2 linked regions of the Kluyveromyces lactis genome follow. The protein of the gene in region 1 purifies or fractionates together with the protein of each later gene. This does not show direct contact. Links are inferred from orthologs where the notes say so. Each region holds a gene or a part of one and is shown on either strand. Other genes may lie near its edges.

What was found.
Region 2: the proteins of TIM23 (region 1) and COX20 purify together in Saccharomyces cerevisiae (affinity purification with mass spectrometry; 3 studies listed by BioGRID). This does not show direct contact. The link is inferred for Kluyveromyces lactis from reciprocal best matches to the Saccharomyces cerevisiae genes TIM23 and COX20.

Annotation. Positions count from the first base shown.
Region 1 is NC_006042.1:576,413-582,283, reverse strand, and holds TIM23 (protein transporter TIM23), read left to right. Parts: upstream 1-2,712; coding exon 2,713-3,372; downstream 3,373-5,871. Other genes in the region: KLLA0_F06061g (uncharacterized protein), read right to left, coding at 1,314-1,571; RRT12 (Rrt12p), read right to left, coding at 4,071-5,597. UniProt on the Saccharomyces cerevisiae protein: Essential component of the TIM23 complex, a complex that mediates the translocation of transit peptide-containing proteins across the mitochondrial inner membrane.
Region 2 is NC_006039.1:1,305,767-1,310,330, forward strand, and holds COX20 (Cox20p), read right to left. Parts: upstream 2,845-4,564; coding exon 2,287-2,844; downstream 1-2,286. Other genes in the region: IVY1 (Ivy1p), read left to right, coding at 1-672; KLLA0_C14993g (DODA-type extradiol aromatic ring-opening family dioxygenase), read right to left, coding at 784-1,743; ACK1 (Ack1p), read left to right, coding at 3,530-4,564. UniProt on the Saccharomyces cerevisiae protein: Involved in the assembly of the cytochrome oxidase complex. Required for the maturation and subsequent assembly of the mitochondrially encoded COX2, the precursor of subunit 2 of cytochrome oxidase.

The sequences.
Region 1 (5,871 bases):
CATCTTTTCACGGACAAAAAAGTCTCTTTAAACTTTATAACCTCAAAATTAAAATCGTGAAGGGTAAAAAAATAGTATTACTAGGCAAATGCGTTCAATACAATTGACGCAATATCCAGATATTAATTGTCAGAGGGCTGATGACCTTTTAGTAATAGTTGTACTCAAAAAGGGACAGATTTAATTGTGTGAAACTCCTATTGTCAATATTAACAGGAAATCAGAATGAATATGATAGGATGAACAAATAAATATTCTCAATACAAGTTGTTGTTGTTGTTTGTTGTGTATATTGAGTAATTCAGTTTCAAACTAAAATTATTCCTTGGATATCTTTAAAATATCTTATCTCTTCTAGTTAGCCCTTTCTCTTGATGAGTTTCCACAGAGTACTGATCAATTGAAAGTGAGTCAAGAGGTTTCAGAAAGACAGAAAATACAATGTATAAAAACCTAAGAAGATTTAGAGAATTGATATAATTTAAATTCACGAAGTTTATTTAAACCCCTTTGCTTGAAAAAAATAGCAGGAAAACCTCTTCTTTATAAAAAGCCGCCGAGTGCATTTCACTTCATCTAGACAAAATTTCAACTAAACTAACAAAACAAACAAAAAGATGAGAAGAGAAAAAAAAAAAAAACTTGGTTCTATCCATTCTACATCCCAGTCTAGGCATTTCATCCAAACGATGTGGTGATTTCACCATACTTGAAATTTCATAGCACTATTTTTTTTTTGGGAAAGAAAAAGTTTGAAAACTTGTTGGGATCGTTGTTGGATTTTTGTTTTTCTGTAGAACATTTCATAAAGATCCCATAAGTTCATACTATCCGTGGTCGTTCAAGATGATTCATGTACCAACAATTTGGTACACGTCACGTTGACAGCAACGGTATGCAACAGAATTTAGGATAAGAAGTGTGTTATATCTGGGCAGATAATAGCAATTAACCGCAATGCGCTTGGTTTTAGACTGAAAGAACGTTTGGCGTTTTAAGGGAACAAATCTTTGAATGAAGGAAATGGAGTAGTTGTATTCGGTTGATATACAGCGGTTATTTATGTGAAAGCTGCAACGATTGGATTTTAGAATAGATTAGCGATAGATGAGGGTTTGAGATCACGTGACTTGCGGTTTCTTGTGGTTTGCGACTACAAGACGTCAGAAAAAAAAAAGCGGAAATAGTATAAACTGACTGACATGAGAGAAAGATAGTTAAGTTATAGACAAATTGTTACAACGGTATAGAAAAAAGCGTTAAGCATACAAGGGGTGAGCAGCTGTTGGAATGAAAATTTAGATTGATAGAAATCATTTCGCATTTTGTATTCCAGCTTCCTTAATTTTCTTCAATAGGAACTCGTCGTAACCGACTCTCATTTGGTTCACCTTCTTCAACTCGCAGTGGTGCAACTTCGTATCCTCTTTCTTAGTATTGTATAGATCAAATCCAAGCGTCACTGAGACTTCGGAGTCAATCTCCTCTAATATTCTGATCCATTTGTGTCGCAACAACACTTTTTCGGACTCGAACAAATCAAATTGGACTCTAGCACTACGTTCTGCCATTTTTTGTTTGTATTTCAATCACTGGGTGAAACTTTTCGTCATAAAGCGGGTTAACAGCTTGTGTTTTATCGTGTAATCACAGTGTAACAAATCATCAGAGAATGAAAATTGATGATTCTCTAAATTATTCATCGGAGTTTTTCTGAGGGGCAGACTGACATATGTTCCAGCGTCCTTTTCATGTAAAACTGCACTCTTTATATTAAATTTATGTTTATTCAAAAGTGTGAAGCCTTGAAATGCGTTAGTGCATGTATGCTACCTTAGTATCTGAAATGCTTTCACAAATTATCCCAGGCGATTTTAAAAAAAAACATTAGCGACAGTACATTGATATGAAAGGTTTATACGGATCCCTTTATATATATATACTGGTTTGAAAATGTATAATTTCAGAAAAGTCGTTTCCTAACAAATCCCCAATTTTCCTTTGTATTCTTTGTACGAATTTAAGGGCAATGCGCTCCTTTTTACAGATTTCTATCAATCTGCGTAGGTAAAGTTTCATCCAAAGATACCTCAGTTGATATCTGTTTGGAAACCCAGTGATAACTTTTGCAATGTCGTGTGAAATAACATTGTCTCATGGCGGGCGTCAGTTTTAAATATTTTTTTTGTCGCTAGAAATGCTAAATGAAATGACAAATTTTTTTCTCTCTGTTTACCCTTCGCTGCGCTCAAAACAGAGGTCAGCTACATCTGCAGAACGGTTCCGGTTACATGAATCATCATTTTGTACGATTCGTTGATTTTACCTTGAATGGTCTTGAAATCACAGAGTCTCTTGTGAAGCAAGAAGAAACAAGAGGAAGAAAAAAAAAACCGTAGTTCTTGAAATATTTTGAAATTTTGAAAAATTAGTGAAATATAATTTTACAATCGAAAAGTGTTTAAAGTAGTAGTATGATACGTTGAATCACCCTCGAAGGTTTGAGTTGTAGATACTAAGACAAAGACATCTTTTCCGTATTGGTATTTTGCTAGGTTACCATTGCATTTCAGTCTATCAAGGCAATACTCCGATAAATACAGGGCTTCATTATTGTCGAATACGGACCGGGTCTAATCTCTTCCTGATTTTTCATCCTTTGACCGATACCATATAAACTAAGGCTAATAATAATAATAATAAAGTATAGCTATGTCTTGGCTCTTCGGTGGTAAGAAGTCATCTACAGACTCACAAGAAAATACTACACCAGTTGAACAAAATGATGATAAACTGAAACAAACTCTAGGATTCGATCCATCATCAATTTCGAATGTGTCGAACGTTATTTCTGTTCCAGGAGGATTAAGTCCATCACAGCTTCACCCATTAGCAGGGCTAGAGCGTGGTGTTGAGTATATGGATTTGGAAGAAGAACAGCTTTCTTCAATGGAAGGTTCTCAAGGTTTGATTCCATCTAGAGGTTGGACAGACGATTTATGTTACGGTACTGGTGCTGTATACTTGGTTGGTTTAGGTCTTGGTGGTTCTTATGGGTTCATTGAAGGGTTGAAGAACATCCCACCTAACTCACCAGGTAAATTGCAATTGAATACAGTATTAAACCATATCACAAGAAGAGGTCCATTTTTGGGTAACAATGCTGGTGTGTTGGCCTTAACTTACAACTTGATCAACTCAGTGATCGATTCTTTCAGAGGTAAGCATGATGTTGCTGGCTCAGTGGCAGCTGGTGCTTTAACTGGTGCTATTTTCAGATCTTCTAGAGGATTGAAACCAATGGGTTACGCATCCGCTTTGATGGCTGCTGCTGCTGCAGGATGGTGCGGTATCAAGTCTGTAATCTTATAAGTTGAAAGAAAGAAAAGGATAAACCTGTGGATATATAAACACACGATAAACTTTTTTTTTCGTTTCCTTTCATTCTACACTACTATTACATTGGGTCTTAGAAATGGTTTGCATGAGGATCCTGTTTCAAATGTGAAATATGCCCCTAATGTCTCGTATTTACTGACCGCCCATTTCATCCAATTTTATCTTACGTTTGCATGTTGAATTCCCCTTTCGTATAATGTACAATATGATGACAATTTTAGCAAATTCATGCTATGTTCCACCACAGCACCATTCTCGCCATGCATGTTTTCCTACTCCATTACCATTTTCTACACCATTCTTGAGACTGTCGATATCTGAAATCAAGCATCAAAGAGTGAGCTAGAAATAAAGCAGCAGCTTGTTTAGAGATACATGGTCTTGTATATATTTTAATAAAGTCATCTTTCGTCAATATTTTTCTTTTCTATTATCTGCCTCTCCAGGCGGGCCTTGCTGGTACTCTAGCAATTATAACAAATTATAACAGCATTTGTGACGAACTTACAACGAAATGGTCTAACGAAGGAAGACACTTCATCACTAGTTTGCTCATAAATTAATATCATGTGAATAAAAGGGCATGTGTCTTCCTGAAACGAAACGAAACGAAACGAAACGATTTCTTGCTCTAAAACGAAAACAAAGTGTATATTATGTATGTCAATATATTAAGAATTGTTACTCACTTTTTTTAGGAACTTACTCAATCGTGGTTTAAGTATCTTTCTATCATGTGTTACTAGATTAATCATCTCGCCACTTGGCGGTTTCACTCGACTTGTAGCTTGCTTTAACTGATCCATGAATTTTATCTCATCAATCATCGGGTAAACTGCGTAAGCAAATTCATCATCCTCTTGATTGTTTCCTGTATAGAGAACCTTATTTGGAGTTCTTGGTCTTACAGCAATAGCTCTCTTCTTGAAAACACCTCTCGTAGCAGTCTTACTCAATATCTTTCTCACTTCAGCAGGGTCTGCACCTTGATCCAAATAGATGGCAGCTGCACCTGCTACTATTGGAGATGCCATTGATGTTCCACTCAATACAAAAGTGCCCCGGCCTTTATTGGAAAGGGATTTCACGTTGACACCAGGAGCCCATATATCAATACAAGCGCCCCAGTTTGAGAATGGTGCCATTAGATCGGTTCTATCGTCCATTGCAGCCACAGTAATTGCTTTCCTGACCTTAGCAGGACTGTACCAACATGCGTTCAATCCACTGTTTCCTCCAGCAACAACAACCACGACACCCTCTTCGATTACTGCTGAAACAGCTTTATCTAAAATCGAATGGGTTCCTGGTGCACCGAGACTCATGTTTATGACACATTTTCTCTTCTTTCCGATGCATTGGTTCACGACATATTCCAATCCTTCGATGATATTTGTGACAGTGCCTTTTCCCATGGAATCTAGGACCTTCACTTCAACAATATTAACTTTCTTGGCCACTCCATAAGTCTTGGAACCGATTAAACCTGCAACATGGGTACCATGTCCTACGAGATCTCCGGAGCCTTCTCCAGTAGTATCAATACCTTTCATAGCCCTTCCTTCGAAATCGGGATGGTCATGATTAACTCCACTATCAAGTACATAAACGAAAACCCCTTCACCCTGGTGTTCTTCATGGTAATGGTATTTCAATCCAGATGAGGTATCATCTTTCTCGATGACTGGTAACTGTGCTCTTCGAGAAATTCTTGCTAGATGTCTTGGAGCTCGAGATTGTGAGATGAAGTCATCGCTAAAATCGGTATCTCCATTGTCTGTATCCTCGTCGTAATTATCATCATCTTCATAAGTATCACTCCCCTCATCTTCTTCTGCCTCTTCCTCATCTTCAGTTTCGAAGTCATATTGATCATTGTTTAATCCTGAAGCGATTTGTGGGAACTCATCGAACAAACTAATCTTCACATTAGCCACAACATCACTTATAAATGGTACATCTTTCAACTTATCCGCTAGAACAGGAGGAATATCAACAGAAATGGCATTGAACTTACCGAATGAGAATTCTCTGTGGATCTTCGATTCTATCAATTCCTTGACACTGGACCCGCCGATTTTAAAGTTGAAAACATACCTTAAAGCTCTTGGAGTCTTCAAGCTAACAAGGTATTCAGTACATATGACAGGATAAACAAAATGAAGCCAAATAACAAAAAGAGTCAAGATACCTCGCATTCTGACTGTTGAATATTTTCTCTGCTGGTAGTTAACTATCTTGCAATCTTATCTCTTTCTGCAAATATTGTTGACAAGACTAGGGATGGAGGTTAGTTGCCTTAATACACATTTTTTCTACTAAATCCATTTTCAGTTATTGTGGTAAATTGTACGATTTAAGAACTCGGAACCCTGTCATTGTCTAACGAATAGTGTGTCGAACCAGGGACATGATTAAAGTCGCATACTTTTTAAGTGTTCACATTATTATTTTGTGTCGCGCGTCAGATAA
Region 2 (4,564 bases), on another chromosome or scaffold:
CAATTGGAAATGCTTAAACACGATTATTATCAAAAGTCATACGAAATGGTAGAATCAACTTGTCAGGCAGTTCTCAGAGATATAGCTACATTGGCAAGAGCACAGATTGAGATAAGTGAAAATATTGCAAGAAAAGGTTGGTCCGGTGGAGGATTAGATAACTTGATAATAGACGCTGATGATCCTTTCAATACCGGTAATGAAGAAGAAAACGATGACAACGAACTTTCCCAACTATCTGGCGCATCTTCGCCAGGTTATTCACGGTCGAGTACTCTCACTCCTAAGAAAAATAGTTCACACTCATCTGATGCGTCTCTACTAAACGGATCTAGGCGATTGCAATCACCAGCGAAAGTGATGGTAACGACAGATGAAAATAAAGATAAAGATGATAACTCCGCTCATGAACATAACAACAGCAACTCCCCTAGTTTCCACTCCGAAAATCAGACAGAATCTGGGACTGATAACTCTGAAGATGCAGAAAATGACGACGGGGATGATAATTTCGATAACTCATTTTCTTTACCATTAACTAGTGCTTCGAATAACAAAGAAGTAAATAACTCGGATTCTAAGGATATTGTACTAGGGACTGATGATGTTATGAAATCTACCAGTGAACTGAATATTGACGATCAATCAAGTATTATTTCTCCCAGTTTGTGATTGAGGTATCCAAAAATGTAAAGCGGATCATGATTGATGAATGTTTTTGACATAATTGGGAATAAATATATGTAATTTTGTAACACTATAAAATGATAAAAAAAAACAGAGTCATAACAGATCACCAAATTGGTATATGCCCCATCCAAGGCTCCCTTGGCATTTGTTGTACAATTCTTTAACATTTAAATCGTCTTCTGTAGGTTCCGCAGCGCCAAGTGCTACAATTATAGGCACGAAATGATCCAAAGTTGGATGAGCTTTAAACAATAGCTCCTTACTCTTACCATCAGTAAAAAACGCCTTGAATTTATCCAGTTTATTATGCTGCTTCGTTAATAGGATATCGTTGAGAACTGACGTAAATTCTTCACTGTAATGTTTGCTACCAGCAGATCCCATATCACGTAAATTATGGACACTCATTCCACTTGTTAAAACTATACCACCCTTAGAACGATATTCTGAAAGAATTTGACCCAATTTGTATTGACTATCAAAATCGAGATCGTTACGGGTCAATGAAACTTGCACCAATGGAATATTATGTTGCACTAGCTCATCATTAGGAAATGCCACTTTCAATGGGACCCACACCCCATGATCAATGCCACGTTCCGTCAATTTGGCCCTTAAACCTGTTTCTGAATGATTGATAGTATTGACTATCTCCTTAGCAAGTGACAAATCATTCTCTGAGCGGAAGGTTTCGTGGTACATGTACTCAGGGAATCCGTAGAAATCATAAATCAACTCGTTTTGTAAACCTTGTTGTAAACTTTTCGGGACAGCAACTTCAATTAGATTGTCAGCTTTGGATTGCCAATGAGCACTCACGTATACAATAAATTTGGGTTTGATATCCTGAATAATTGTTTGGCCAACATTTGCGACAGTTTGGAAAGCGCCAAAATCTCCCCCAAAGATGTCCTTATCCTTTTCGGAATACATGAACGTCGGACCACCATGGGAAAGGAAAAATACGGGAGTTGCGGCTCCAACAGTGCTTGGTGATAATGACATTGCTACAGGTTTTATACTTTGTCTGAATATATTATTGAACCAACTCATAAAAGGAATATTCAAGATTCTGATTCTTGATATCTTTCTTTCATTACAAACGTATCATCTAATTAATGCATTCATTCAATACAACAGTGAAATTAAGATAGCGCATTGATTGTAATTGATGAGACTGTTAGTGATATGCACACATTTATATATGTTAAAATATATACCAGCCGATATTTCAACACTGATCTTTCGATTATTAATTTTTAAAAATTACCTTAGTCCAAAATAGCTCTCGTTAGTCATTTTATTAAGGCCTTACTAAATTTTTCACCACTTGATTTGTCAATACGAAGACAATCTGCGGTCAGAACGAGTCAGCTCTTTAGCGGTAAATTGGAATGTCTGCAGGGGTATGTGCAGTGGTGTATGCAGTGGTATTATAAACGGTATATGTCATTAAATGATGTCCTGTACTATTGTGCCAGGAATCAAGAATTATTCATTCTCACTCTACATGCCTAAAATATTGCCTACGACGTCTTATGTTGGGTAAAAAAGATACGAGGTCACGTGGTGGTAAGTCAATATCATGTCTTGCACCTACCAAAATTTGTACCAAGGTTTACTGTTTCTAGAGCCCTCTTCCCATTCCTTCTTGACTGTATCTATATTCTTAACCTGTTTCAGCATTGGTTTCTCCTTTGCTGCAACAGTCTGTTTGGCCATTGCTGCCACTTGGAAGCTTCGTCTACGACGCATGCGACATTGCTCCCATCCTACAATGGATCCAAGTATGAAACCTCCTACACCCCAATTTGCCGCACGAGCAGGATTCTTATGGTACAAGAACATCACTGATCCGACAACAAACATCGATGTAAACCCTCCGATCCCTGCGTCTCTGAAACATGGAATTGACAGTACCTTTTCGACACTGAAATCTTTCACGTCTATCGTATTCCATGCCTCTTTCAAAGACGCACGTTCCTGCTCTCGAGCAGCCATACTACTGGACTCATTATTGAATTTGGGTTTTGTATCCTCAAATAGAAACTTCTGTCCTTTAGCATAATTCGTTAATTGCTGTTCCTCTGATATACTCCTTTCCACCTCGGTACTTGCTTCTTGCGTTTTACTCTTAGAAAATGGCCACACCATGTTTGCGCTCTGAATATTAAAATATCAATTCAACGGGAGTTTATATTACTTGACAGCTACCTAGGTTAGCTTAATGAAGATCTCAATTGCTGCTTACTTGTCAACGCTTTTAGCATCATCTCATCTTATAATCTTAGTTTGTCAATCAGTTTTCCTACAGACACAACTTTTTCCAAACCGAAAAATAATTGAAAAATATGGAATATTTGGGAAGCGTCAGTATTTAATCATAAAATCAGAAGGTACTTGGAAATTCTTGACCTAAGTGACTTTTTAAACAGTGAAACTATAGCAAGTCTCTGGAAATGCATTCCTAGTTTGTCTTGAACATATTAAACTGACACAATATGTACATTTATTTATCCGTTCTATATTTAAAAGTCGCTTTCTGCGATTCATATGTACTGTCGCAGTAGAAATGAAAAAAAGGCGACAGAATCCGATACTCTGAAAATCAGTAAAATAATGGTAAATTGAATTAATCTGAAACGATGAGTTGCAACAAAAATACAGTGGCCGTTAAGCATTTCAACTAGGCTTCTGGAAACACTGCCCTCTGGTATCAGCTTGAGTCTGTGGGTAAGTGAGTTGCTCTGCAAGTAGTATTGGATTCGAAAGCGTTTGCACGGAAGAAATTCGTAGAAAGGATAGGACATTGGTAAATCGTTCTCTTGAGAGAAATAGAATGGATAACAACCGACAAAGAAACGCGTATGGCAACTACATAAACATGTACCCGCCAGGTCACGAGCCAAGTAAGAATACACCATATCCGGTTGATGATCTGCCCCAGAATCATGTTGCAGATACGAATATTCCATACCAAATGTATGAGAAAGATACAAGACAAAGCTCCCAGTCAACGGTAACGACGCCAGTATCACGACAACCACCACCGGCGCAGCAAGTCAGCATACCCAAAGTGGATAACCCGCCTAGCAGTGCTAAGAGTGAACGGGATCTTTCAAATTACTCTTCCGAGGCTGTCGCGTTTTATGAAGCATATGACAGAACCGTCAAGGACGCAAACAAGTTTACGAAGGATATCCAGTTGAAATGGTGCGAGACACTGTTGCAATATGCGTTCAAGCCCACTTTCTTAATCAGATACAATATCAATGCTGAAAAGTTGAAACGGGATTTAACTGAGACCGAAATGCTACAGAATAAAAGGACCATTTTAGAGCATGCGTTACGCGTGTTAACGAAACTAACTCAGTTAAACTATTCACCAGCGATCTACCTATTAGGGACACTTTATTCCCACCACCCTTACGTAGATATTCCAAGGCCCATGGATATCGTGTCTAAGAATGATGCAAAAGCTCTAGACTACTATCGCAGAGCAGCCGATATGGGTCATAAGGATGCCATGTATCGGACCAGTGTCAGCTACGAGTACGGACGTGGAGTAGATTACACAACTGTGAGTGAATACGAAGCTTTAAAGATTTCACAGAAGTACTATGAAATGGCAGCTTTGACCAATGGACATTCTGTATCCATGTACAAGCTCGGGATGTTCTATTTGAAAGGACTGAGAACGAAATCTGGTGAAATCGTTATCAAAAGAGACCCTGTACAAGCTTTATACTGGTTTAGAATGGCTACCAAGGAGATCGAAATCCCACGAGACGATAAGGCTCATGTAGAACTGGAATCAGTATCGCCACAAGCGATGGTTGAGTTGGGTAAGATTTACGGATTTGAAGAGTTAGAC